Linked DNA regions of Callithrix jacchus. The protein of the gene in region 5 interacts with the protein of the main gene of each other region in a pairwise test. Links are inferred from orthologs where the notes say so. Each region holds a gene or a part of one and is shown on either strand. Other genes may lie near its edges. The genes, in order: MGAT5B, CCNJL, GDPD5, GRN and KRTAP26-1.

Region 1 (3,290 bases), on a different chromosome or scaffold from region 5:
CTCTCTGTGCCTCTCGATGTAAAATGGAAAGATTCATATAATAGTACTTACCTGCTAGGGCAGCTGAGTGCATGAAATGACTACTGAAGCAAGCGACAAACTCAGCCCAGTGCCCGAGGTGGTAAACACTGGCTCATTTTCTCATTATCTGGCTCAGGCTCTTATCAAAATGGATTTGTGTTCCCTGACCCCACACTGCCACTGTCACAGCCAGCTGGAGGCGGGCAGAGACCAGCCCAACGTGGACATGACTGAGTATGCCACTGCTTGTCAGGGTGCCTGCAGTCACAGCTTGGGAACAGCCAGGAGATGACCCTGGGTCTCTGCCACCAGCAGGGACTTCTTTTGGGTGGCTTGAAGTAGACAGCACCCAGCTCTGCAGACCTGAGCACCCCGTGTGCCCCACATGACATGGAGCAGAACCTGGAGACATCAGCTATCTGCCCCTCCACCCTGGGTGAGCTCTGGATGCCGCAGGAAAAGAGAACCAGCATAGTTCCTCTTCTGCATCTCACATCCCAATAAAATATTTATTATTTCAAGAAATAAATCTTTAAAAAAAGAGAAAAAAAGAGTGTCTCTATTGCTTTCCCCCACAGGTCAGTCCTTGGGAACCAATGAGTTTCTTGCCATCGTGGTTTCTGCGGCTGCAGGGGCCAGCCAGGTCTGGAGGGGACTCCTGTGGGAAGTGTCCAGCCTGGCCCCTCCACCAACTCTCAGCGTCCTGGGGCTGCCTCCTGGGAAGGGTGGAGGAGCAGGCCTAGGTTGGTGGGTGGGGTTGCTGGGAGAGGGAGCAGGATTATAAAACTGGGTGGTGGCAGTGTTCTGAAGGCCTGACCCGCTGAGGCAGTCGGGGCTCTGGGCGGGGGGAGAGGGGAAGGGGGCGTCCTGTGGCAGGCATGCCACTCAGGGAAGGACGGCTGGATCTCAAGGCGGTTTGAGGCTGGAGGTAGGGACAAGGACTTGACATGGGTGGGGTTGAGGGCTGCCTGGGTAAGTGGACAGGGCAACTGGAAACTAGGCATGGAGTGCCATGGGGCTGAGGCTCCATCCCAAGCCCCTGTCTGCAAAAGATGCTGGGGGGTAAGGAGTCAGTATCTGTGGGAGTGCCTGGTGCACAAAGGCCACCCCCGGGCAGGGGTCCCAGAGCCTGTTCTCTGAGCCTGGGGTGGAAACCTCCCCTTGGAGGGGGCAGGGCTTGAGGCTTTGGAACAAATCCACCATCTGGAGTGGCAGGTCATGCCAGGATGGGTTTTGGGAGAAGCCCGGAGTGAAAAGGGTTGGAACAAGCAGGAGAAAGAAACAACTCAACCAGGGCCTAGGTGGTCCCTGCAGCCCAAACTGTGGTCCCCAAGTGTAGCGGGAAGGTGGTGGGATCGGGAAACCGAGAGGAAAGGGGCTAAGGGGAGGCACGAACAGGGCCCCTTGGCTTAGCCTTCCACCCACCCTCTGCCCCTGCATCCACAACCCAAATGCCAGCGGGCCCTGTGTTCCTGGCTCCCCTCACAGGAGGAGGGTAAGCCCCCAATTCCCCTGCCGGGAGCAGGTACCATCCAGGCCCATGGGGAGGGGCCCTCCTTGAACCCTTCAGGGACCATGGGGCAGCCTGGTCCCTGCTACCCTCTCTTGCAGGTCTAGAAGCCCCATCCTGGGCCCAAGAATGACTGGCCCCCTTCATCTGGCCCAGATCCAGCCTTGCACAAAGCAAGGGGCCTTGACCACCTGCTCCTGGGCCCTGCAGACTCTCCGAGCAGCCCGACATCTGCTTGGCCTTGATGCTGCCATGAATTCCCAGGAGAGAACCAGGAGCCTGCCTGGGAGGTCCCAGGGGCTCGGTGTGCCGCCGCCTCCTATTCCTCTGCACGGCTCTCCTCTGGACACTTCCAGGCGAAGGAAGTAAGCTCCAGCCTGGGGGAGCTGCGAGGAGGACAAGCAGCCGGAGCCCAGGACCTGCTGGTACTCTCTCCTGTGTCAGGGGAGAGCCAGCCGTGGGTGCCAGGCAGGGCGGCAGAGGTGGCCTCACAGACAGCCCTGGCACAAGGCCACCTGGCCTTTGCGGAAGTCACGGCAGGGGCAGAGCCGGCGGTACTTGGTGTTGGAGCCGGCACAGCTGAAGAGCAGGGGCTCCTTCTGCAGATAGCACTCCTGGCCAGGCTGGGCGAAGGCCGGGTACAGGTGGTTCATCTCCGACTCGGTGCTGTCACAGGGCACCTGCAATCTGGCATGCATAGCACCATCACTCAGCATTGGTTGCTTGGGCTGAAGGGCTGGGCCAGGGTAGGGGTTCCCCACAGCCCAGCACTGCCTGCTCCCCTTCTCTGGCCCATCCCCATCCCAGAATGGATAAGGAAATGTGTTACAGCTCCCTACTGTTACACCCAGGACAGCTTTCATGGTTTGGGCTAGACAACGCCCAAACAGGCTGGGTAGGGGGCTGAGTGGGTGAAGGAGAGCAGGGACTGAAAGGAGCCTCTCCTCTAGTTTAAGGCTTGGCCAAGAGTGGGGCAGCAGTGACCTGGATGTTGGCCTGGAGGGTCCCTTCTGGGTCCTTCCTGACTCGTTGGAAAGCATTAAATCCCCCACCGCTGAAAGGGCTGAGGGCCAGTTCTGGGTATGAGAGCTCATGGTGAGCCTGCTGGGCCAGCAAGGATGGGGGCTGGGGGGTGGGGGCCCATACTCACTTGAGGAAGGCGTCCTGGCTGTTGAGGAAGGGGAAGAAGGAGGGCTCGCAGATCAGCCCGTGGTCCAGGCAGGTGTCGGTGCACGCCCTCCCAGGCACAGCCAGCCAGGCCCGCAGGGAGTTCACGGGGGGCCAGGCCCCCAGGGTCAAGCTGGCATTCTGAGCCCATTCGAGGTGGGTGGCATTTGGGGCCAGGACAAAAGGGCTCTGCGGGGCATGGGCCCCTGGTTGGGCAGGGCCTGGAGATGTGCAGAAGTCCTGCAAGGAGGGGGGAGCAGCGTTAGGTAGGGAAATGCCAGCCAGGTACACCCGGGGGACACCTGAAGGTGTGGCCCTGCCAGTACAAGCCACAGTACCAGCCACCACTAATGGGCACTTACTGAATACCAGGTAGCTTTACCTGCATTATTTTATTGACTTCCAATGGACACTTGTGTCTCCAGGTCACTTACAGGGAGAATGGAAGCTGAGAGGTCACGGCGCCTGCCCAAGGCTTTGGGGTTGGACAACAGAACAGGACTTGGATTCAGGGCTCTCTGCATCCTGTCTGCCCTGGAGCTGTCCTGATGCTCAAGTCAAGCTCTGGTTTCTACCCTGGGGCCTGCGAGCC
Region 2 (3,522 bases), on a different chromosome or scaffold from region 5:
CAGGCCTCAAGGCAAGAGGAACTTCACTATTTCAGCCTAGAATAGTGTTTTCAAAATCACTATTTCAGAAACACGGGATTCAGGGGAGAAACTTACACCAGCAGAATTTCAATACACGTGCTGAGGTGTTCCAGGGAGTAGCTTGAGATCCTCTGCAGGTCTCTGGTCCAATAGGGAGAAAGCTGCAGGCAAATCCTGGAGGCCCCAACACAGGCTGCAGCGACCACAGAAGGCTGGAATTTGTAGAATATGTGATCTGAAAGAAAGCCATGGAGGGAGTCAGCATCCAAAGCCTCCCCTTGCAATCCCAGGCCCACCCTGAGAATGGATGGACAAATGAATCATTTGCAAGCCTGTTAATCACTGCCCTACAAATAGGATGGAAAATTAGAAACTGTGAAGTTCCATTTTTGAATCTTAACCTTGGCTCTCAATCTGGGATTTCTCTTTTGTTGAGACAGGTTCTCTCACTCTGTCGCCCAGGCTGGAGTGCACTGGGTCAATCGTGGCTCATCGCAGTCTCAACTTTTCGGGACCAAGAGATCCTACTACTTCGGCCTCTCGAGTAGCCGGGACTACAAGTGTGCACGACGAAACCTGGCCAATTTTTGTACTTTTTTGAAAGATAGAGTTTTAGCATGTAGCCCAGGCTGGTCTTGAACTCCTGAGCTCAAGCAATCCTCCCGCCTCAGCCTCCCAAAGTGCTGGGATTATAGGTGTGAGTCACTATGCTCAGACCAGTCTGGTATTTCTGATAGCAGCCTAGAACAGTGTTTTCAAAATATTGTCCATGGCTCCCAGGGGGCAGCAAGGAGCTCGCCAATGTTCTACAAACAGAACTGCAAAACATTTGGCCTTTCTTTGGTTATGTGAGTGTATGACATACAATTTCAAAGGCTTCCGTTTCGGGGTATGACTAGAGGAAGCTATTTATTAGTTGTAACAATGTCTGGCCCACAGTACTCAGTGAAAATGTACTGAATGAATGGCTGTAAGAGTTTGATATTTATAACTAAAACCGGCACTTAGGTTGACTGAGGAATCTTAATGTCCAACTAAGATATCTGGCCACATGGCAAAGCTGGTACTATTGATGTGCAAAGGCAAACAGTTGAAATTTCTGTAGTTTTCCTGAATGCCACTGGGTTTTCAGTTTATTACTATGTTGTCTTAAATTGTTCATGATTTTCACTGGGCGTGGTGGCTCACGCCTGTGAGCACTTTGGGAGGTCAAGGCGGGCAGAACACGAGGTCAGGAATTTGAGGCCAGCCTGGCCAACATGGTGAAACCCCATCTCTACTAAAGATACAGAAAATTGGCCAGGCATGGTGGCACGTGCCTGTAATCTTAGCTACTTGGGAGGCTGAGGCAGAAGAATCACTTGAACCCGGGAGGCAGAGGTTGCAGTGAGCCAAGATCGCGCTATTGCACTCCAGCTTGGGTGACAGGGTGAGACGCCATCTTAAAAAAAAAAAAAAAAAGGAACCATGATCCCAAGCATTAACTGGGCATTACTGCATGCCAGGTATCTTGCTTCAGTGATTTGCATACATTATCTCATTTGAACCTCACAGCAACCCTATACCAACACCACCTCCATTAATCATATTTTACAAAAGAGGAAACTGATGCTGTAACTTACCCAAAGTCATTGCCAGGATTAAAAAAAAATGTTTTTTGAGACGGGCTCTCACCGCATTGCTCAGGCTAGTCTCAAACTCCTGGGATTAAGGCGAGAGCTTCCATGCCCTACTCATTGGTAGGATTTGAAGCTGGGGAGTCCGACCAGTCACTGATTGGTCAGCCCAATCATCGATCTTGATACTCATGCCCAAACATTTTAGTCTGTGGTAGGTTATGGGATGGTTGTTATGAGTAGTATTTTTTTTTTTTCCCGAAACAAAGTGTCGCTCTGACTGCAGGCTGGAGTGCAGTGGTACAATCTTGGTTCACTGCAATCTCGGCATCCCGGGTTCAAGCGATTCCCCTGCCTCAGCCTGCTGAGTAATTGGGACTACACGTACGCACCATCATGCCCAGCTAATTTTTTGTATTTTAGTAGAGACAGGGTTTCACCATGTCGGCCAAGATGGTCTCAATCTTCTGACCTCATGACCCTCCCACCTTTGCCTCCCAAAGTGTTGGGATTACAGGAGTGAGCCACACATCTGGCCCTATCAGCAGTATTTTTGACCCAGTTAACATCTAGATTTTAAAACACTGGGAAGAGTGAGTTTCAAGTAAGACTCTCCAAACAGGGTAACTTTTATTGCTAAAGCAGATGGAAACCTAATTCCCTCTCCCCATACTATCTGTATGACGGCAGCTGTTTGAGAATAACCGACCTGCAAATCTGTGCTATTTAAATCATTTGCAATGTTCTAGGTTACTGTAAGAAAAAGGTGATCTGTAAGTTTCTAGGTTTCCGGCTGCCTGTATATAAGCAGGTATTTCTCTTTTATATGTTACTGGTAACACACTGGGCAAATTTTTGCCCTTTCTTTGCTTATTCCCTGCAAAGTAAGACTGATATGGGTGGTGCACAGGCCCCAGTGAGAAGGCCTTATCTGGATGGACATGCCCTTGAGAGCCACCTAACCCTGACCCCTGGGTGGGTGGGGAGGGGGTAGGAGGTCCTGCTCTTGGGCCCCAGCCATCACCTTGCAGGGTGACCTCTAGGAAGTAATGGGCATACTCCTTGAGGCACTCTTTGGTCTTGCGAGGGCAGGTGGTGGGCCAGGTGTGGCAGTGGTGGTCCTTCTGGCTGACAGAGGCCAAGAGGTAGTAGTCCAGGAAGTGGGCAGGTGTGGGCAGGCAGAGGTTCCAGCTGAAGGCCTCCAGGAGCAGCAGCTCTGTGCTCAGCAGCTCCTTCTTGGTGAGGGCGAAGTTCTGGCTGCTCAGGATCCTCGTGCTGTTTATCTGCTCCAACTTGGGGACGTGGTCTTCCCGATCCTCGAACTTACCTGTGGGGAAGCAGGGGAAGCAGAGGTTACTGGAAGACATTTACCTGCATTCAGGAAGCTAACAGCCCACCTTACAGTGCCTGGACAGTGCTGGCAGAGAAAACAGAAAGCAGACAGGCCGGACTGCAAAGGGATAAGAGCACACATTCCAGATTTGTCAAACCTAGGCTTGAATCTCTAAGCCATCACTTCCCGCTGTGGGATCATGACTAGGTGTCTCAACCTCTCTGTGACTCAGCTTCCTTATCTGTAAGATGGAACCTATACTTCATTAGGCTTTTGTTAGATTCAATGGGAAAATGCACACCAAATGCTCAAACCAACCACTGGAACAGAGGAGGCAGGAGACAGTGGTCAGGAGCAGCATCCAGGGGCTGGGGAATATAGTCCCCTCCCTACTCCCCAACCGGCCCTCACTAATCCAACCTCCTGCCTAGAGTCAGCATGACTGCACAAACCTGGCTCTGTCCCTCCACATATAGAAAAAGCCCTTCTATGGCTTCCCACTATCCTTGGTATTGAGTTCAAACTGTGTAAATGGGGTCTTAGTTTGGGTCC
Region 3 (3,522 bases), on a different chromosome or scaffold from region 5:
GGGAAGCCCAGTAGCCACTACTCTGCACATGGCTGCTAGCACCTAGGGTGCCGTCCTAAACTGGCTTCAGATTTCTGTGGCCCCAAATTATTACACCACATGATAGGACAACCCTTCACTGAAGTAACTTGACAGCTTGGACCTTTATAAATTTTAAAGTGTTTTCTTGTTCCCCTCTTGTCCCACGATGACCCTGGCAGGGAGGCGAGGGGTGCGTGATCCCCACTTTACAGATGTGAAAGCTGAAGTCCGGAGGGCAGCAGGGAGAGGTTAGGCAGCAGCAGGGCTCCAGCCAGGCCAGGGCTCCCAGGGCAGAGCAGTGCTGGAAGGCCTCACCTGGTGCTGGGGGAAGCCAGAGCGCAGCACGGCCTCCAGAGTGATGTTGAGGAAGCTGCTGCGGTAGGGGTGCTCACGGGGCGGGTCGCGCAGGTTGAGCAGCAGTGTGGCGTTGCCTTTGGCCAGCTCCAGGAGCTCTGCCAGGCTGCAGATGGACTGGTTCTGGGCCTCTCTGTAGTCGGAGGGTGACAGAGAGCTGGCCGTCCAGAAGGGGTCAGTCTGGCAGGGACAGGGACACACACATGGCTGCATCACGAGCCCTTTGGGGACCCCCACATGCCCTTCTGGCAACCAAGCATGGAGACCTCTGGGCTACCAGTTGGCTGGGGTCAGGCAGATTGATGGCTGTGGCCATGTGGAGGCTGCAGGAGGCCCCAGCCCTAACCTTCCTACCCCACACCCTGCTTACCAAGAGGATGGCTTGCTTGGAATAGCTGCCACACCCCACAGCATTTCTCCTTCTGGAGCATTTCACACCAGGCAGCCAACCCCTCTCCAGAGTTTTACAGAGTTAATGCTATTCACTGCTCTCATTCATGTCAACTTTTTCTAGTGAGGGAAACAGACCCAGAACATGCAGTGACAACCACGAGATATGGCAGCAGTGGCAGGAGCCCAGGAGGCCACCAATGCCTCTCACTCCCTGGAGTCCTTGCTGGTATTTTCCAAGCCTAAGCCTGGGATCAGGTGCAGCCAGACCTTCAGGAACCACTGGCCAGCGTTGAGCCTCTGCAGGGTGGTCCAGTTGAGCATGGAGGCAGGCCTGCGGGCGAGCTCCGGGAACTCCTCCTCCACGTTGGTGGTGCGCCGCAGGGTGGCATCGTGCATGAGGAAGGGCACGCCGTCCAGGCTACAGGGAGGGTGGGCCGCTGAGTCACTGACCCCCCCATCCCTCACCTGCCCACCAATGACTGTCACCTCCACAGTCCTCCCCACCCAGCACAGGATCTGGCTGGCTCTGCCCCTCTCTGGGCCTCAGTCTCCCCATCTGCACAGGAAAGACAGTGGGCTGGTGGATGAACCTGAAGGCCTTCTGGCTCTCTTTGAGGGTCAGATGAGGGTGGGGACTGCCAAGAAGGGCGGGCTGAGAAAAAGCTGGACCTACTTTCTTAGCAACCTTGGAAGGTAGGTGCTGCCTCATTTGATAATGAAGAAACTGAGGGTAAGAGAGGGAAGTATCTAGCTCAAGGTCCACAGCCTGTACGTGGTGGAACCGGCTTTGAGACCAAATCCCTGTGATGCTATGATGAGAGCAGTGCAAATGTAGACCTCTTTAGCAAACTTCACCCAACCCCAGTCCTTGTCTGCTCTACCAGGGCCGCCAATAGCTCATAGGGTGCCTTAGTGTGAAACAGTAGAAGGCACCCATGCCCTCTGTTCCTCAAGGCATTTTACCACCGTCTGCTAGAAAGTTACAATAAATACACAATTCTATATCTATACTAGGAACAATGTCCTCATATATGTGATGTCCTTGTTCAGTACATAACCTGTGCAACTATATATGGCAGTCCTGCCCTTCTTCCCTTTTCAGATAACTTCTGTTATGAGATTGGTATGGATTCTTTCTGCCATTTATACTAATATCTACTTATATACGTGCATGGAGAAAGTATATACGTCACTTTTTTGTGGTCTTTTAAAATGTAACTGGAATTACAGTGAATGTATCACTCTGAAACTTGCTTTATTTCACTCATGAGAGTGTTAGAGTTCTGTCATGCAGAGCCATAGAGATCTAGTTTTCCCTTCAAGCTGCTCTGTGGCAGGGCTCCAGGTCCTCACCCCCACCCCTGCTTGCACCAAGAGCATTTGTTCTTTATTCTATTTTACACCAGCAGGGTGACTGCCCTGCTGTGGATAATCTAAGCCTCTATCCTCCCATCTCAGAGGCTCTGAGACCAGAGGTTTCCCTAGCAGAGACCCAGGTAGATGCAGATGTGTGTGGGAGGGGTTAGAGGAGCTATTTTTCCTCCGCTACACCTACCTGATGGTAATGTCAGCCTGGAGCCCATACAGCTTCTGCTCAAGGGCCTTCCGGAAGGACATGAGAGTGTGCTCTGGAGCCAGCTGGGGAGGAAGGGGTGGTGAAGGGAGAGCCAAGAGTCAGCTGATGTACCCTCCCCAGCCAATGGAAAGTCTTCCATGTTGGGAGGCTGGGTCAGGCATGGTTCTAATTCTTTTTTTTTTTTTTTGAGACGGAGTTTTGCTCATTACCCAGGCTGGAGTGCAATAGCGTGACCTCGGCTCAATGCAACCTCTGCCTCCTGGGTTCAGGCAATTCTCCTGCCTCAGCCTCCTGAGTAGCTGGGATTACAGGCTTGCGCCACCGTGCCCAGCTAATTTTTTGTATTTTTTTAGTAGAGACAGGGTTTCACCATCTTGACCAGGATGGTCTCTGTTGACCTCGTGATCCACCCGCCTCGGCCTCCCAAATGCTGGGATTTTCTAATTCTTGTTCCTCCATGGTGTAGCTGTGTGACCCTGGGCATCCACTACACTTCTCTGAAGTTCAGCTTCCTCATCTGTTAAATCATGCCTACCTCACTGGTTTCACTGCAGGGGAGCGGAGGCAGGGCTGGTGAGTGTTGATGCATTTAAATGCCTGACATGTAGCTAGCACTTGATACCTGGTAGCTATGGTCACTGCGTTTTCACTGCTGTATCCCAGCCACTGAGCTAGACACTGGGGCTGGAGGGCTTTTTTACAGTCCTCTGTGGCAATCTGGCAGTCTTGGGCTGGGGCTGAAAGTAAAATTCCCTCTTGGCTATACCCTGAGCCAAGTCCAGGGGGAGAAATGGAAGAAGAGCGGGTGGATGGGATGGTAGAGTTTCAGTGGGGACCCAGTTTCCTCATCTGTACAAATATGACAGTACCATTTCCTTCACTGGACTGCTAAGTGAATGAAAAGCCTCTAGCACCCTGCCTGATAGATATAGTAAGTGCTTGATAAATGGTAACTGTTTTGCCCTTACATCATCCTGGTTCTAGCATTTTTTTGTTTTATTTCTTTATTTCTTCTGTTTGTTTTTTTTAAATAAAATTGCACTTTTTAGGTACAGGTTCTAGCATTTTTTTGAGAGACAGGGTCTTGCTGTCACCCAGGCTGGAGTGCAGTGACACAATCACAGCTCACAACAGTCTCAAACTTCTGGGCTCCAGCTATCTTCCCACCTCAGCCTCCC
Region 4 (2,203 bases), on a different chromosome or scaffold from region 5:
AGAGGGGCCCAGGGGCCTCGGAGCCGTTCCGTGGTAGGTGCCGGGTTGTGTCTTACAAGGGACCCTGTGTCTGCCTCCAAGCCGGGGAGGAGGGGGGTCCAGCCCTCATGGGGAGGTGCCGGGGAGGAGGGCTGGGGGGAAGCAGTGCCTGTGTAGTGTGGCTGTATATAGAAAGCTCTATTGTGGGAAAGCAGGAGGGGTGACCCAGCCTCAGCTGCTAGTGTGAGGGCTGGGAAGGGCGGGGGCGTTCTCTATGGCCCCCTGGGAGGGGTTGGGAGTGCTGCTTGCTGACTAGCCCACCTCTGGGCTACGATGTCACAGGGCTGGTGGCTGGGGCAGCTCTGGGGACTAGGGGGTAATGTGATGACGGCGGCTGTGGGCAGCAGCAAATATAAACTGGTGAGGTTAAGGCCGTGTGTGTCTTTCTGTGGGGAAGGGGAGGGGAGTGCTGGCAGTGGAGCGAACTCTGGCTCTGGGGCCCTGGGGAATGCAGGCAAGGCGGCAAATCAGACGCTGTTAAGAAAGTGTACAAACTTTATTGGAACGCGCACGCGCACACGCACACACACACCCCTGTGAATAGGGAAAAGCACCTGGCCACAGGGTCTACAGAAACGGGGAGGAGATGGCAGCTTGTAATGTGGCTTTTGCCACAACCCCCTTCTGACAGGCAAGGCCTTAGATTGAGGCCCCACCTTCCATGGTGATGGGGAGCTTAGAATGGGGGCCAGGGAGAATTTGGTTGGGGAGAGGTGCTAGGGAGGCCTGAGCAGAGGGCACCCTCCAAGTGGGGTCCTGAGGGCTGCAGAGTCTTCAGTCCTGTCCCTCACAGCAGCTGTCTCAAGGCTGGGTCCCTCAAAGGGGTGTCCCAGTGCAGGGTTTCCCTGCGCAAACACTTGGTGCCCTTGGCTGAGCAATGGAAGCCGGCAGGACAGCAGTGGCGCTGATCGGCACAACAGACACCCTGGATGGTCAGAGTGGAACAAGAGGGTTGGACATGGCGGGACTGGGTCCCTGGCCATACCGAGCCCCAGGGTGGGGGGTGTCACTGACCTGGCGGTAGGGACAGCAGGCCCAGCCCCCTTGGCTGTCTCGGCAGCAGGTCTGGTCATCATGGCAGAAGTGCCCTGCCCCACATTCCACGTCCCTCATGCCCACATGAGGGCCACGGGCCAGGAAGGTGGCAGGCTGGGCAGAGACCACTTCCTTCTCGCAGGATCGGGCCTTCACGTTGCAGGTATAGCCAGCTGGGCAGCAGTGCTGGCGATCCTCACAGCACACAGCCTGGTGGGGAGAGGGTGCAGAATGGCATTATGTTCCTGTCCCCTCGCCGGGCTTAGCTCCCTTATCCAGGGGAAGGCAGGGAGGCACTCACATGGGGCAGCTGGCAGCAGGCCCAGCCCCCGCCCAGGCTCGGGCAGCAGGTCTGTCCAACTGGACAGCTGGTGTGCTGGTCGCAGCCGATGTCTCTGGGGTGGGATCCGGAAGCCCGGCGGGCAGGCATCTTCTCCAGCCCAGCCACGATCTTGGGTCCCCGATGACACTGCCCCTCAACGACACACGTGTAGCCCTGGGGGCAGCAGTGCTGGTGGTCCGAGCAGCAGACAGCCTGGGGGTGGGCAGAAAAGGCCATTCTAGGTAGCCACATGTGGGGCACAGCGTCGAGCCCCTACCTCTCCAGCCCGCCTTTGCTGCTTATAGCATCTCCAGCTGGGGATGAATCTGACAGAGCTGAGTGCCACCTATGGGTGAAGCAGAGGGCAGAAAGCAAGAGGAGTCTGGCCACCACCTTCCCAGGCCAAGGTGCTGTCCTCTCCCATGTACCTCTGGGGCTGAACAGCAGCCCCACTCCCCAGACATGAGTTGGCAGCAGGTATTGGAGGGGGGACAGCTTGTGACGTTATCACAGGGGACGTCTCTCTTCAAGGCTTGCGGGTCCAGCAGGCTGAGGTGAGCTGGGGCCTTCTCCATCCAGGGTACCTGGTGGGTCCCCTGTTCACAGGTACCCTTCTGTGTGTCACACGTAAACCCTGAGGGGCAGCAGTGTATGTGGTCCTCACAGCACACAGCCTATGGCAGACAGGAAGGGCCAGTGGGCACTGGGGTCCAGCTGGCTGCCACAGTGCTCAGTCCACCCACCCACCACCCCTGAGTACCTGTGTAAAAGGGCAGCAGCCCCAGGCCCCCGACTGTAGGCGGCAGC
Region 5 (2,616 bases):
AGCATATGTTTGGGGACCTTTGTGTAAGTCAGGCTTGCAGGATCTTAGTTTTATTATTTGCAGTACTGATCAAAATAGGATGAAGCCAGAGAGGGAGGAGGGAGAAAGACAGTGAGGGAAACCAGCTTTGCTACTAAGGTGTTTGAATATTTATCTTATGGAGATAGATTATAGGAAGCCAGCAAAGGCTTAAGCAGAAACCTGGTCAGGTTTTCAATTAGAAAGAACATTCTGGTGAAAGCATATTCAGTGGAATAGAGAAATAAGAGGCATCATTCCTAATTTTTCCTCTTCAAAGCAACTTTCACCAAGGACTTTTTGGGTCTCTCAAGTACATAGGGTCAGAAGTCTAAAAGCAGCTTAAGGAATAAACCATCAAGCAATCCTTCCACTGTCAGGTACAAATATATGGTTGAGAATCATTTGTCCAATTCACTCATCTTGCAAACAATTGACATTGGTCATTTCTGTGTTAAAATTAAGTCATGAAAGAAAAACCACTGAACAAGATTCCTAATTCGGACTTAATCGCATTTATTATAGCGTAAATCAAATACATTCTTCCCACACCACAGCAACGCTGAATAGCATTGTAAGCCAATTCTTTTGATGTCAAGGAAAGATGAAAACAAGATAAAACATGTAAGAGAAGCAGGTTGCATTAGATCACAGACAGTAAAAGTAAGAAACATCAGTTACTACTAGCGAAGAAGCAAAAGTCCCCAGATTTTTCTAGAACAAAGAAGCTACTGGTTTCACAGTGCAGAGCAAGATGGATGACAAGTGCTGACCACATGGCTCAGAGGTTGGCAACCACTGAACAGAGGCCCCAGAGGTCTGAGGCTGCTGGACACAACATGAAGGGTTTGAGGACCATAGGCCAAGCAACCGGAGGGTCGGCATCCAGAAGTGAGGAGGTTTGGGGGCTGGCAGCTATTGGCAAAAGAGGACTGGGGACGATAGCCACCAGGCACACAGCTTCCTGTGGGCTGGTAACTATTGATCAGTGGCCTCAGTGGACGACAGCTGCTGGACACGTAGCTCTGCGGTCTATAGGATACTGGAAGGCAGGAGCTGGAGATGAAAGAAGCAGGAAGAAAACTGGTTCCTTGGCAGGATCTGGGCACGTAGTAAGCAGTGGAAGAACAGCGAGAGGTTTCAAGGTTGCCGGTCTCACAGTGGGCTGGCTGGCAGCTGGCTGGTTCACCGCAGGTCTCTTGGCAGTTGTCTGTGAGCCAGGTATGGTCTTGACAGCTAGTGGGTAAGCAGAGGACATCTCCACAACTCACATTGGTAGGGCAGAGGGCGATGGAGGTAAGAGGAATATGGCAGGAGGTTCTGAGAGATCCTGAGCTGGAGTTTCCAGAGCAGTAGTTTTGGCAAGACATAGTGAGGTTGTGAGAAGAGGCTGCGGTTGACGGAGAGAAGCAAGTGTCTCGAGCTTGTTCTGCCCTTCGTTGACTTGACCCTTTATATATCCCCAGAAGATGGTGCTTCTGCATACAGACTCTTCCTCTTGTTGTACGAGGCTACATCGGAACTCTTTATTATAGCCAAGGAAGTGACGCTCCCACCTCCCATAAAACCGGAACGCTCCTTGCAATGCCATCCATTGATTAAGTATATCTATAAACCAGCGCGACTGCATTTTACTAGTATCTATCCTTCTTAAATTATCCAAACACAACAGACATGTTTTAAAAGCTATGTACTTACTCTAATTAGAACCACCATGGCACAAACATTCTTAAGATTCCTCTCTTCGAAAGTTGTAGCAACTTCTTTGAAACAGTGACAACTTATATCTTTCTGAAGGGAAATTCTATTCTTCTTGGAAGTTGCTGAAAGTAACTTCGAAGCAAATGTAAGGGAAACTGAAAATCCTTGTGAACTATATGGCAGAAATATGGACAATTTCAATATGTGTTGCTCAATTATAATTTATTTTTCAAAGTGTGATTTGCTTTATTTCAGAACTCTACTCCGACTTGACTTTCTACGAAAATATCTTTATTTTAAAATGCGTGCTCATCTTACTCACTTCAATTAATAAATAGATGAGTCCAGCTGAAAACTTGGCTTATGTTTAAGGTATGCATGAATACAGATAACGAAGTTGGACTTAGTTAAAATGATGTATCCTACTGTGAACAAAAGCAAACAGACCCTTTAAAGAAAGTCGGACAACTTGATATTTTTCATGATTTTTACAAGCCTAGGTATTGTATGGTAACTCATATTCCAACTGAAAAAATATTGTTCTTGGTTAAAAAAATACATTGATTATGACATGAATTTCTTTTGCTTCCTATATTGGTCTTGATGTCAATTTCCAAAAAGGAACTTCTAAACTGCTTTACATAGGGAATAGCACCAGGATGAAGTATACTTTTCCTAAGTTTGAATACTTAAAGGCCATTTGAGAATATGTATTTCTGGTTAAATTTGTTTTAAAAATGTATGATTACAGTTAGTTTCAACTGTCCCTCTACATTATTCACATACTGACATACCCAGTGGCTCCAGTAGCTATTTTAATGGGATTTTAAATTACCTGCTGGCTCTAAGTTCCAATTCCTTTTGGCTAAATAGTCAATTTAAATCATAACACTTTCT

What was found.
Region 1: the proteins of KRTAP26-1 (region 5) and MGAT5B interact in a two-hybrid assay, tested with the Homo sapiens proteins (3 studies listed by BioGRID and IntAct). The two-hybrid records come from large-scale screens. The link is inferred for Callithrix jacchus from reciprocal best matches to the Homo sapiens genes KRTAP26-1 and MGAT5B.
Region 2: the proteins of KRTAP26-1 (region 5) and CCNJL interact in binary tests that used the Homo sapiens proteins (3 or more experiments, as listed by UniProt). The two-hybrid records come from large-scale screens. The link is inferred for Callithrix jacchus from reciprocal best matches to the Homo sapiens genes KRTAP26-1 and CCNJL.
Region 3: the proteins of KRTAP26-1 (region 5) and GDPD5 interact in a two-hybrid assay, tested with the Homo sapiens proteins (2 studies listed by BioGRID and IntAct). The two-hybrid records come from large-scale screens. The link is inferred for Callithrix jacchus from reciprocal best matches to the Homo sapiens genes KRTAP26-1 and GDPD5.
Region 4: the proteins of KRTAP26-1 (region 5) and GRN interact in binary tests that used the Homo sapiens proteins (3 or more experiments, as listed by UniProt). The two-hybrid records come from large-scale screens. The link is inferred for Callithrix jacchus from reciprocal best matches to the Homo sapiens genes KRTAP26-1 and GRN.

The regions. Positions count from the first base shown.
Region 1 is NC_133506.1:132,799,339-132,802,628, reverse strand, and holds the end of MGAT5B (alpha-1,6-mannosylglycoprotein 6-beta-N-acetylglucosaminyltransferase B), read right to left. Parts: intron 2,939-3,290; coding exon 2,682-2,938; intron 2,219-2,681; coding exon 2,020-2,218; 3' UTR 506-2,019; downstream 1-505. UniProt on the Homo sapiens protein: Glycosyltransferase that acts on alpha-linked mannose of N-glycans and O-mannosyl glycans.
Region 2 is NC_133503.1:23,071,842-23,075,363, forward strand, and holds part of CCNJL (cyclin-J-like protein), read right to left. Parts: intron 2,965-3,522; coding exon 2,662-2,964; intron 257-2,661; coding exon 97-256; intron 1-96.
Region 3 is NC_133511.1:65,510,706-65,514,227, reverse strand, and holds part of GDPD5 (glycerophosphodiester phosphodiesterase domain-containing protein 5), read right to left. Parts: exon of another isoform or gene 2,407-3,522; coding exon 2,324-2,406; exon of another isoform or gene 1,187-2,323; coding exon 1,036-1,186; exon of another isoform or gene 890-1,035; intron 556-889; coding exon 337-555; intron 1-336. UniProt on the Homo sapiens protein: Glycerophosphodiester phosphodiesterase that promotes neurite formation and drives spinal motor neuron differentiation.
Region 4 is NC_133506.1:71,192,555-71,194,757, reverse strand, and holds the end of GRN (progranulin), read right to left. Parts: coding exon 2,157-2,203; intron 2,071-2,156; coding exon 1,825-2,070; intron 1,610-1,824; coding exon 1,376-1,609; intron 1,285-1,375; coding exon 1,054-1,284; intron 965-1,053; coding exon 827-964; 3' UTR 517-826; downstream 1-516. UniProt on the Homo sapiens protein: Secreted protein that acts as a key regulator of lysosomal function and as a growth factor involved in inflammation, wound healing and cell proliferation. Regulates protein trafficking to lysosomes, and also the activity of lysosomal enzymes.
Region 5 is NC_133522.1:36,367,950-36,370,565, forward strand, and holds KRTAP26-1 (keratin-associated protein 26-1), read right to left. Parts: upstream 1,449-2,616; 5' UTR 1,389-1,448; coding exon 756-1,388; 3' UTR 518-755; downstream 1-517. UniProt on the Homo sapiens protein: In the hair cortex, hair keratin intermediate filaments are embedded in an interfilamentous matrix, consisting of hair keratin-associated proteins (KRTAP), which are essential for the formation of a rigid and resistant hair shaft through their extensive disulfide bond cross-linking with abundant cysteine residues of hair keratins.